Elephas maximus indicus: one gene and its partners. The protein of the gene in region 2 interacts with the protein of the main gene of each other region in a pairwise test. Links are inferred from orthologs where the notes say so. Each region holds a gene or a part of one and is shown on either strand. Other genes may lie near its edges. The genes, in order: COBLL1, PACSIN1 and COBL.

Evidence for each region.
Region 1: the proteins of PACSIN1 (region 2) and COBLL1 interact in binary tests that used the Homo sapiens proteins (3 or more experiments, as listed by UniProt). The link is inferred for Elephas maximus indicus from reciprocal best matches to the Homo sapiens genes PACSIN1 and COBLL1.
Region 3: the proteins of PACSIN1 (region 2) and COBL interact in binary tests that used the Homo sapiens proteins (3 or more experiments, as listed by UniProt). The link is inferred for Elephas maximus indicus from reciprocal best matches to the Homo sapiens genes PACSIN1 and COBL.

The regions. Positions count from the first base shown.
Region 1 is NC_064824.1:62,843,039-62,846,784, forward strand, and holds the start of COBLL1 (cordon-bleu protein-like 1), read right to left. Parts: upstream 2,645-3,746; 5' UTR 2,461-2,644; coding exon 2,451-2,460; intron 2,202-2,450; exon of another isoform or gene 1,793-2,201; coding exon 1,675-1,792; intron 1-1,674.
Region 2 is NC_064819.1:97,289,646-97,293,391, reverse strand, and holds the start of PACSIN1 (protein kinase C and casein kinase substrate in neurons protein 1), read right to left. Parts: upstream 2,454-3,746; 5' UTR 2,107-2,453; intron 1-2,106. UniProt on the Homo sapiens protein: Plays a role in the reorganization of the microtubule cytoskeleton via its interaction with MAPT; this decreases microtubule stability and inhibits MAPT-induced microtubule polymerization.
Region 3 is NC_064826.1:111,953,073-111,956,818, reverse strand, and holds the start of COBL (protein cordon-bleu), read right to left. Parts: upstream 2,426-3,746; 5' UTR 2,265-2,425; coding exon 2,149-2,264; intron 1-2,148.

The DNA of each region.
Region 1 (3,746 bases), on a different chromosome or scaffold from region 2:
TTAGTTTTGTACATTCTTTTGAAGCAAAGAATTTATTAGTTGAAACCTTTAAGCGCTCAAGTAAAATTTGCAGCATTTACTATAATTACGCTTATCACTAGAAAACTCTTTCCACTCCATCACAGAGCCCTTTGGTATCACACAAATACTCAAAGGTATCATTTGATTTCTGAACACCCATGGGACACTTTATGTACGTGGATATCCATACTATTTTTATTTTTGTAAACAGTACCTTAACCTAATTCTTACTTTTGGTCCATTTTAAATCCACCAATTCAGTCCTTACGTCTTATTTTTGGTACCTGCATACATTTCAATATGCCGTGAACTGTTCATCTTCATTTACAGCTCCGTTTAGAGACCTTGTTTTTATGTGTTTATACACAATAACATGGAACATATGAAAGAATATATGGCAATATCTAAACAGTGGAAAAACCTGGGGGAAAAAAGAGGAAAGGCAATACTGCTATGGGGGGGTGGGGGAAAGGAGCTAATCAGAGCAAAATGAAATAATTCATACATTACACGTTTCCTCTATGTAAAAAAATTATACTAAATATCTTTTAGTCATGTTGCTTTGAGACTTCTCCATGTTTCAAGACAACTGCCAATGTTCGCACGGCCTCTGACGAATAAACATGCTATGACTTGCTCCTAAGGAAACGGCTGTCATGTTCCAGGGAAAAATGACTTCTCTTTTAAATTAGGAAAACTTCACAACTCCCATTCATTTGATACAAAGTCAATTTTTCCTTGACTTTTTTTTATTTCTAACATATTCTTTTTAGGACATTTCTGGGTTCAGATTAAGGATGAATGAAAAGAAACAGAGTTGAAACAATTGTAGGAAAAAGTTATACTATGTCAGAGGGGTTTCAAAACTCAACTACCGATCCATGCTATTCCTTCTCTGTTTACCAAGACGAAGGTTATCTTCAGGTTCTCCCCCATCTCTTGCAGAACTACCTGTTCTCATTACTGTTTACCCAAACGCTCAGCACAGTGATTATTAGCATATTTGGCAGGAAGACATGCTTCATTTAATATTAACTCACCATGTGACAGCCCCTTCCCCTCCAATTTCTCCACAAACACGTGAGGATACAAAGAAGAGTACAGTTGTTTGCAGTCTGACTTTGCTCTTGCCTTTGGCATCAGTAATTGGCCACAAGCACACACACCCCCAATCGAGGCTCGCACCCTGCCTGGTTCCGGAACTGTCATGCAAGCTGACAGCTGGCACACCTGTGGCCCTCCACTCGCTCACAGAAAGCCCCTTCCCACAGTCACCCTGTTATTGCTCGCCTGTGTGGGCCTCAGCCTTTGGCCAAGGAAACTTTTTTTCTCCTTCACAGGAATTCACTTACAGGTATCGCCCTCCTCTCCTCCAGAGCCTCAACAAGGGGCCCTTTGTTAAGATTTTTGCTCCCAGACTCCTTACCCAATTCCTAGCATTCGGCTGGCCTTCAGCAACCCAGCGCGGCCCCAATACGAAAGCGTTCAAAACCACCAGATTCCCAACACCAGGCGGTCTCCAACGAGGCCGAAAGGAGGCAGCCTCCTCGCCTGCGTGTCTGATGGCCAGGGAGTCGCCCACCAGGTAAACTGGTTGAAGCCTCGCTAGCATCGCCCTCCCGGGTGAGTGAAGGTGAGACGCTCCAGGCTTACCCTGAGGTGGTGGCGGGCGGCAAGGGCGCCGCCCGGGCGTCCTCCGCGCGCGGGGCTCGGCTGTCCATCGCCCTGCGGTGCGCTGCGCGGGCTCCAGCTCCAAGTCGGCGCGTCACTGCTGGGGTGGGAGAGGCCGGCCGGTCAGGGCGGGACGCGCGCCCTTCCGAAGCCAGAGCCGGGCTGGCCACGCGTCAAGAGCCCGCCCGAGCCACCGAAGCCCCGGGCAGACCCGCCTCCCGGGTGCGCTTCCACCTGCGGGCCCAGACTCCCAGCCCGCGGGCGCCGCCGTCGCAGGGAGCGGCGGTGGCAGGAGGCGGCGCTGCAGCCCCCGCCCCGTGGGGTTTACTGGGTAGCCATTTGGCGCCTCCGGGGGAGGGAGAGGCGCTGGCCTGGCTGGAAGGAGAAGGAGCTGGGAAAGACGCTAAGACACTGCCGCCACGCCGACAGCGCACTGCCAGGCTGCCGAGCTGCCCAGACAAAACTTTTTTCGAAAAAAAAAAAAAAATTGGGAGTGTTAATCTCTTTTCCACCCAGGGCTCCTACTTTCTTTTCAAAAGGAGACAGTGGCTCGCCTGTTCTCTCCCGCGGCTTCCTCTCCCACTCTTCCCTCCCCCGTCCCGCGCGCTTTCAGTTGGGCTCTCAAGCCAGGACTTGAATGGAGGAGAAAGCGGCAGCCTCGCGGTGGCTCAGCCCAGCCGCCGGCCGGACCGAGACAGCACCTCCCCTTGCCCGCGGGCGGAGTGCACCGGCGCCTCTCCCCAAACTCGTACACTCACCCTGCCCCATTTCCCTGCCCAGGGCCCGGGACCTCGCCGCCACCTCCGCCGCCTAGCCACCCTAAAGTGGGGACGAGTTTCGACGGCATCGGGGCGAGAGAGGCAGCGAGCCGGAGAGAGGGACGGGGCGGGCGTGGGCGAGGACCGAGTTGGAATTTCCTCCCCCCCAGGGCTTCCAGTCTTTGGGGTCCTCCTGGGGAAGCCGAACGCCAATGAAGCTAACGGGCGAAGTGTTCCCATTCCCACCACTAGGGTATCACTTTAGGAAAGCTGGCGCGCCCAAGTCAGACAGGTGGGGGGCGGGGATGTGGAGAAGGAGAATACCTGCCCTGTGAGGTCTGGAGGAGTGGACCTGGGCCACCGCGGAAGTGCGGAGAAAAACTCACAGAACAAGGCTTGCAGCTTGCCCTCCCAGCAGCCTGACCTTCCACGTTCGGGTCTTTTTTTTTTTTTAACTTGACCTCTTAGGTTGCTACTCATTAAAAGTGCACCTGTGACACTGTGGCCTTCTTAATGGATAGCAGGTTTAATGTTGCCCTGTCTCTACAGGCATAATTTTTTTTTTTTTTAAGCCTATAAAAAAAAAAAAAAAGCCTATAGCAGCTGTGAAATGAAGGCTGGACAATATTGTGTCTAATGGCAATCTGTAAGCCAAGAATTGAGTGATAAATCTAATAATTCCCCTTATCTCTTGGTAGTTTTACAGGAATAAAAGAATCACGAAGACCCAGCTGTGTGCTTGTTTATAGGTTTTAGTTCTCGCGTGCTTTTTCTTCAGGTGATTCTTTACACCTGGCAAACAGGTATATTTGCATAACTTGTATATATAGTTTCAACAGCACCAATTGCTTTAAGGTGCTGGCCATTTTGATCAGTCCAAGAGCTTGCTTTCATAAAATAACTTGAAATTAACTTAAAAATGCAGTTTGAAAGTAAAAATATTTGGAATAATCTAATAGAGTTACACCAAGGATCATTCTGAAAGGAGCCTCTACTGTAATACCAGCATCAAATAGCAAATCTGTTAGGCACTTCACCCTACTGATAAGAAGCATTTGGTAGGTGTTAAAAATTAAATTGATATTTAGAGCAAAGCAACCAAAAAGATCACCGAAACTAGCTAACATACTAAATACCTAGTAACATGTCCTTGGTCTATTAAGAGCAGGCATTATTTATTCCTGTGTATAAAAGCATGCATTTTTACACATAGAAACAAAAGAAATGTGACTTATTTGAATTATAATATTGGAACCATATCAGAAAAAAGTTGCTTTTCAAAGTTGCCAATATTAC
Region 2 (3,746 bases):
GCCTTTCTCCCCCAGGGCCTCCAATCCCAGCCACCTGAAGGCACTGACTAACCCACCTTCCACTTGCCTCTCTCTACAGGCAAGTGGAGGATGCACGTACAGGCACAGCCCTCCGTTACTAGGAGACAAGGCAGAGCCAGAGACGAGGGGTCTCTGGGTTTGATGACAACCCAACACCGTGACCCCAGTCTGCTGCCTGGCGCCTCCTCCCCCACTCCCTCGAGTTCAGTGGAGAGAGCCCTGGACTTGAAGCCAAGACCCCAGCACGGGTTCTGACTCTGCTGCTGTCTCTGTCTGGGCCACAGTCTCCTCCCCTGTAAGACCATGACAAGAACATCTTGCAGATGTCTTATCGGGCATGACTGTCACACGAACAAGGCAGGGAAGGGGCTCTGCAAATGTCAACGTCCTTCACAGACACAGCCTTTGTGGCTAGGCCAGAACCCTTGCGGGTAGCCCCTTTCCCTGGCCTAGGTTTGCTCATTCACGCAATGGAGATACTAGATTTGCTCAGCACTTGCTATGAGGACCCCAGAGGCTGAGAATGGCCAGCCTTGGGCCTTCCCAGCCTCGCCTCCTTGATGCTGACTTGGATTTTCCCAAGGGCTGGGAAAAAAGGTAGAGAGGCCCCTGGTCTGAACTTAGCATTCCAGGAAGAAGGTGCCAGCCCAGTGGCTTGAAGAGAGCCAGACCTCCTACTCAGGCCTTCTACCAAGCCTGCACCAGGCCAGGGCACTCAAAACAGGGACCAGCAAGACCCTTTGGAGCCAGCAGGACTGCAGCATGTATCTCCAAATGACTTAGCCCCCATCCATTCCATGTCTAGGAAGGGCCTAAACAAAACTGTCTGTTTTAGGTGGCTCTTTGGTCCTGGGGAATGTAAGAAAAGCCCAAACGGGCTCCTTCAGGCTTCCCTCCTTCAGGTTTCCAGCATTTCCTGGAGTTCAAGTCCATTCAATCTCTCATTCATTCATTCCACAAACATTTACTTGGTGCCAGACCCTGCTCAGGTGCAAGAGTGATGACAGAGATGAATCAGACAGATTCCTGCCCTGAAGGCACCTACAGTCTAGAGGGCGACAGACAAGACAGAAATAGCCAAGCCACAAGGCAGGCTGGGTCAGAGAACACAGGGGCAGGAGGCAAACATTTCACCTGAGGTATTGGGGAAGCTCCCTGAGGGGTGGCTTGTGAGTGGTGATTTGGACATGTGATGGGAAGGCCGAGTGCATGGGGACAGAACTTCCAAAATCATTAACAACAGTTCCATTTGCACCCTTGCGACACCAGGAGTCAGGGCAATGTGGGTTATTTATGGTTTTGCCCAGGGAAAAGCACCCACATGTGTCACTGTACCTGGGGTGCAAAGCTGGGCTGTGGTGGATGGGGAGCAGCTGAGGTTTAAAGCTGGCTGTAGCCAAGCCGGTTGTGCCCCCCACCCCTAATGACCCTTTAACTCTTTCAATGGCACCTTGTAAGACAAAGAATGAGAGATGGCTCCAACAAGCAGCACGGGCCTGAGGGTGAGGGGGTGGGCAGTGCCGGGCAAACCAGCGATTCTGCTGTATCTGGGGGCCTCTTAGCATCACCTCCTTCTCAGCCTCCCTCCCCCCATACCAGCTGTGGGGGAAGGGGCGGGGGACAGAAGGAAATACCTTTAATCAAAAACCAGACAGGAAGCATCTGCTGCTGTGTTTCTCCCCAGCCCACTCTGATCCATAAATAGCGGACGCACTAAGCTGGCACTAGCCCACCCACCTCAGCAGGTTTCCAAATGCCCCAGGGCAGGCACCTGAGCCACCGGCGCCCATTCCTCAGCTTCCCAAGCAACCTATTTCCTGCGCTTTCCCCAGGGTAAAGGCCTCCACTGCCAGCTGCCAACCCCAACTCTCAAGGGGTCCAGCGCAGGCATCCTGGCACTGCCTGAGTGATGCCAGCGACCCTATGCGCCTGCAAAGCACCTTTGGCCACGCGCCCACCTCTATCCAGGTAAATGCCCAATCCTCCCCAGGCCCCGGCCCAGGAAGGTGTCAGCCCTTGCCCCCACCGCAAATATTCCCTGGATGGACCCCCAGATACCTCCCATCCAAGGACCAGACCCCCTACCTGTAGGCAGGAGCGCCAGGCACCATAGGCGGCGCCACCGGGCGAAGCGGGTCGTCTGGGGCCGGGTCTCAAGCCCGTACGACTTCCCGGGGGAGGAGGAGGCTGGCGCAGCCGTCGCCACCGCGTCTCTCCCTGATCTCGCCCGGGCTGCGGGAAGGAGGAAGGTCAGATCTGAGGAGCAGCAGGAGGGGGAGGATGAAGAGAAGGCGTGCACAGATGAGCGCAGATTAGGGAGGCATTTTTAGCAAGCCAATGGCTGCGCGGCGCACAGCGGCGCGGTGCCTGCGCAGGTGGAAGCGCGGCGACTGCTGAGGAGGCAGCAACGGGCTTAGCCAGCGCCCTGGGTCCTCCCCTCCCGCCCCTGCTCCCTCTGCTCCCCAGCCCAGGCTCCCTCCTCCCGGGGTGCTCCTGGCCGGGGGAGGAGGGCTCTGCACACGGCGGGTGCAGGGCGCATCTCCCGACCTTGCGCCCTCCTCCTCCCCAGACTGTCTGAAGGCAAGCTTGGGGCCCGAGGGTGCTGCTGCGCTCCCCTCTTTGCCCTTTCTCCACCTTATTGGCCTTTCCTCCGGCTCTGTCTGTCGGTTTCTGGCCTTTCCTAATTCCTATGTCTCCTCCTCTCCTCGGACGTGCGGGTGCTTATGGATGCGCGCGTGTGGGCGGTATGTTTAGTGTTTGGCGGGGAGGAGAGATCGCTCTGGAGAGATACTCCACCACCACCACTCCACCCATCCCCCGCCGGCTTCGCCCGGAAGTGCCCTGTTGACCCCATGGGACGGAGTCACTAACCCTTGTGCCCTAGTTCCCACTGGGCTTGCTTTCACCAAGGCAGACTCTGCAACATCTCCCTGGGACTCCCTGAGGGGGCTGTGGCCTAAAAAGTGACCCCACTGGTCTTCATTCTTCCTGCGTTGAACCCTGAATGCTTCTGGAGCCCGGGCTTTACAGAGGGGAGTGGGCAGCGTTCTTCGCTGCAGAGAGAAGTGCGCTGGCTGATGACTCATTTAGCACTGATCTATTGAAGGCCTACTATGTGCCAGTCGTTGACGAGGAGTTGGACTACAGCAGAGTATAAAACAGACCAAATCTCTGCCCCTGGGTAGCTTATGTTTGTGAGGGAAGACAGACATTAAATAAAATAAATAGTATATAAACCAAACCCGTTGTCTTCGAGTCGATTCTGACTTCATAGCGACCCTATGGACTACATGTTAAAATGATATGCATGAAGTAGAAAAATGAAACCAGAGAAAAGGAAAGAAAGTTAGGGTAGTCATGGCCAGATTGGGTCTCAGCCTTTTAGAGGGGAAGGCTGAGTTTTTAATTTGAATGTAAGCCCCTCAGGTAGGCATGCAGACTCTAGTTGCTACAGACCACACCACTCCCTATTGCATCACCTGGGCTGGTCATGTATTTACATCTCCTGCCCTCCCTCCCCACACCCTGGTGCCAGAGGCACTGAAATTCATGCCCTTAGTGGCCCTTTCAGTACGAATGATCTGATCAACTGCATGTTAGCTATTGGAGCCCGAGAAATTCAATACCTAGTCAGGGTTGCCAGATGCCAGAACCCACACCAAGGCGGAACAGGGCAACCAAGTGAGTGGACAATGTGGAGAAGGTTTGAGGGCTCTGATTTAGGG
Region 3 (3,746 bases), on a different chromosome or scaffold from region 2:
AAACTAAATTCCCCTAAAAAAAAAAAAATTCGCCTCAAGCACACAGTAAATACTGTCTTACAGTCAAGCAATAGAGAGGCGGCTACAGAAACGAGTCAACAGAAATTTCAGTGAAGAACCAACAGAATCCAATTGCCTTTGGTAAGGTAAGAAAGTCACAAATTTCACATCTGTATCTATCCTTTATGATAGGCAAGTGATACATCTAAATTATACAAAACATTCAATACCCGAGAGTACTTTTTTCCTCTTACTTTAATACATAATAGTGGACACAGTGTGGGAGAACTAATAAAAATATCCATAATAACAATTTCTTGTTTTGTTATTATGTGCCTTGCAAAAGTCCTTATAGTTTTCCTTTGGGGCCCTGATGCAAAGGCCAATCAGAGCTGTGCAAACCACTATACAGAACCATACGCAGGGTTTAACCTCTTCATTTTATAGTACCTGGTTGGAAAAAGTACCGCCATCAGATGACACGTGAGTCCATAATCAGACTCTTTTAAAAGATTTTAAAAATACTCTTTGGATAGAGTTTTGCTGACCTCTTAAATGTTCTCTTGTCCATATTTATTTATAAGATAATAGTGGCAAAAAAGATCCTTCCTCTGTTTGGCTATGATAGCAACCGATTTAAAGGTAACTCTATTTTCTGTTACATATTTCCCCTAGTCACTTGGTATACCATGAAAAACGACTCCCCACATTTCTTTTCTTTTCTTTTTTTTGGTATTTGTCTGTTCAAAGGGAATTACATAACGGCAACTAGGTGCACTGCAAGGAAAAGTTCGTTTGAACACTTGTCAGCTTCAGGATTATTTGTTAACCTGGCTCACTTTTTCCTGGCATTAAAGGGCGAGCTTTTGTTTTTCTTTTTTTTTCTTTGTTTTTTTGTTTTTAAGAAGGAAACAGTTTGAAAACCTTTTACAGCCCTGGGCAACACTGGGGCATATGGGCTTACGGGCAGGGTGAGTCAGTAGGGCACAACTGCAAAAGAAAAGAGATTTGTTGTCCCCAAAGCTGCCTCCTTCAAGTCCAGTTGCTACAGCGGAAAGTGGGCCCATTCGGTAAGCAGGTGCAGGACCCACCCCAACAACTCATTCCATTTGCAGGACTCATAACACATTTGCTCCAGGCAAGTGAGTTCGAAAGGGCTAAAGAGCTCCGTGCTGAGATCCACAAACGTTCCCAAGGACGTCGCGCCCAACACCGGGATCCCAGTGGCTACACTGCCCTGGTTACGATGTGTACGTTTCCAGTGCGGACTCAGTCTCTACTTAAAGGAAAGGACTGTTTGTCCTGAATTACAAAAGTTGTTCTTACTGCTAGCAAAATTCTGTATGTGACGCGTAGTCCCTCCACTCAAGGTGTGAGGATGAAAAACAAGAATCTGGAAAGGTTTGGGCAGAGGGAGAATCATGAAGAGACATGCCTTGTACTTGTAAATCCAATCCTGGGGTCCCTAACTCTGGTATGGTCCGACTACCGCGCCCCTGCACACTGTCAAAGGGAAATTCCAGAAAAGAAAGCTATGGGGAAGGGACACAGTTGTCATGAAAACCTCTCCGGGCAATGCCCTATACAGAAACCGACCGAGAGCGCCCGGGCCAAAGAGGCTACAGAACTCCAACAACACTCGGCACCTGGACGTGGGAGGAGGGGGCAGCGGAGCAGGTTATTGTGGCCGGGTGAGGGGTGCCTTTAATGTGACAAGGTCATAGGGCAACTCAGTGACAGAGCTGGAGTCAGAGGCCTGGTCCCAGCAAGGCCGCCCGACTCGCAAGGCAGACACTCAGAAAAGGTGGCTGAGGAGGGCTTGGAGTTAGGTTGGGACTCTGCTTGACTGACCCCCATTATAGCGCGCGCACGTAAATACACCCAGCTGGAAAACGGCGCTCCGGCCTCCGCCTGACACGGTTACCTGGGAAACGACCCCAGCGCACAAAGTACACAACTCCACGTCCCCCTAGCAGGTCGCGGGCGGCCGCCTTCGCCTACAGGCCGGCCCGCCGGTACGGGAGCACACGCTCACCGCCCCCCGGCGCCCCGTGGGCCCAGGGCCGAAGCAGAGGCGCCCTCCCCGAGAGCGCACCAAGCCGAGCCCAGCCTTCCACCCCAGCACTGCCGCGCGCCCGGCCCGCTTACCCGGTGGGCGGCTTGGCCGCCGAGGCGGGCGCAGAGTCCATGGTGCCCGCGGGCGTGGGGCGCGGAGCTTGCGGCCGGGCCGAGTGAGGCGCGCTCGCCGCCTCCGCCTCGCTCATTCACTTTTTCCGCGCCGACCCATCGTCCTCCCACGCGGGGCCGGCGCAGGACAGCCGAGGAGCGGAGAGGGCGGGAGGGGCTGGAACAGTGCGGGGAGGGGCCCGCAGTCGCGCAGGGTGGGGGCGCCAGGAGCAAGGTGCGCCGCGCCCCCGCCGCTGTCGCCGCCGCGCCTACCCGAGCACCGCCCCGGCCCCGCCCGCTGGCCCGGCCGCTCGCCAGCGGACGATGCTACGGGAGTGCCAGGCTCGGCCCCGCGGGGTGCCGCCGGGGAAGGAGTGGGGCATGCACCCCGCGCTGGCCTCAGCCACCTCCCTCGGCTTCCTCTCCCCAGGAAGAGAGTGCGTCTTTCTCTGAGCCTGAGTTGTGGGTCCTGAGGCGCCAGAGCCCCAGCCGGGACCTGGAACTAGAGAGGAGAAGCTGGGGCAGGGCAAACCAGGTGCAGAGAGGCTGTGAGGGGGCGAAGTGTCAAGCCCAGCGGCAAGGAGTAAGGTTTAGAGAATAAGAAGGGAGTCTCTGGTGCTGCTGTCTCTGCTCTGGAACCCAACAGAAGCTTCCTCCACGCAGTGGGCACCTAGTGCAGTGGTTCTCAGCAGCACCTGAGAGCTTGTTAGAAGTGCAGATTCTGGGGCCACACCAGGTCTACTAAATAAAAAAACTCTGGGAAGTGGGTAGTGGGGCCCAGCAATGCGCAGTTGAACCAGGGCTCTTGTTTGATAGGCCCTCAAGTTTGAGAAGCTTGGTCTACTAAGTGCTTGCTTCATGTCTAGCCTTGTATTGGACTCCAGAGGTTTGGACAAACCATTAGGTGTGGACAGAAACGACAGCAGGGGCAAAGCACTTTGGAGCCCAGAGCGAGTGCTGGTCTTAGCAGATGCAGGAAAGAGAGGACCTTAAGCCAAAGGGCTTCTGGAAGAAGACCCGTCTGATCCGCCCATCTCCAGTGAGCAGCCCTTTCAGTAGCTGCATGTCTTAAGGCCTCTGGCCCTACTCTAGTTTTACCCTCAGAGGCCCCTTTGAATTATCTCCATACTCTTCCTAAACCAGTTTTCCACAGAGTCAGTTCCAACTCATGGTGGCCCCATGTGTGTCAGAGTAGAACTGTGACTCATAGGGTTTTCAGTGGCTGGTTTTTCAGAAGCAGACCACCAGGCCTTTCTTTTGAGGCAGCTCTGGATGAACTGGAACTTCCCAAAGCAGCAAAAGAGAACACACGGGTTGATATGAAAATCTGACCTACAAAAATGGTAATTTTATATGGTTCCGAAGAATAAACGGCCAATAAGATGCAAAAGGCTAATATGATGCAAGGTGAAGTGGGTCTACATATGTGATCAGCATTGAAAGAGGTGCTCTCTTGGGATCTAACATTGGGTAATGTACACAGAGGCTGGCCTGAGCTTTTCACCCATGGGTCCCCAGCTTTCTCATGAACAAAATCAGAGGGCCAGTCCAGATACCCAGTCCAAAGCCCTCCATGATTC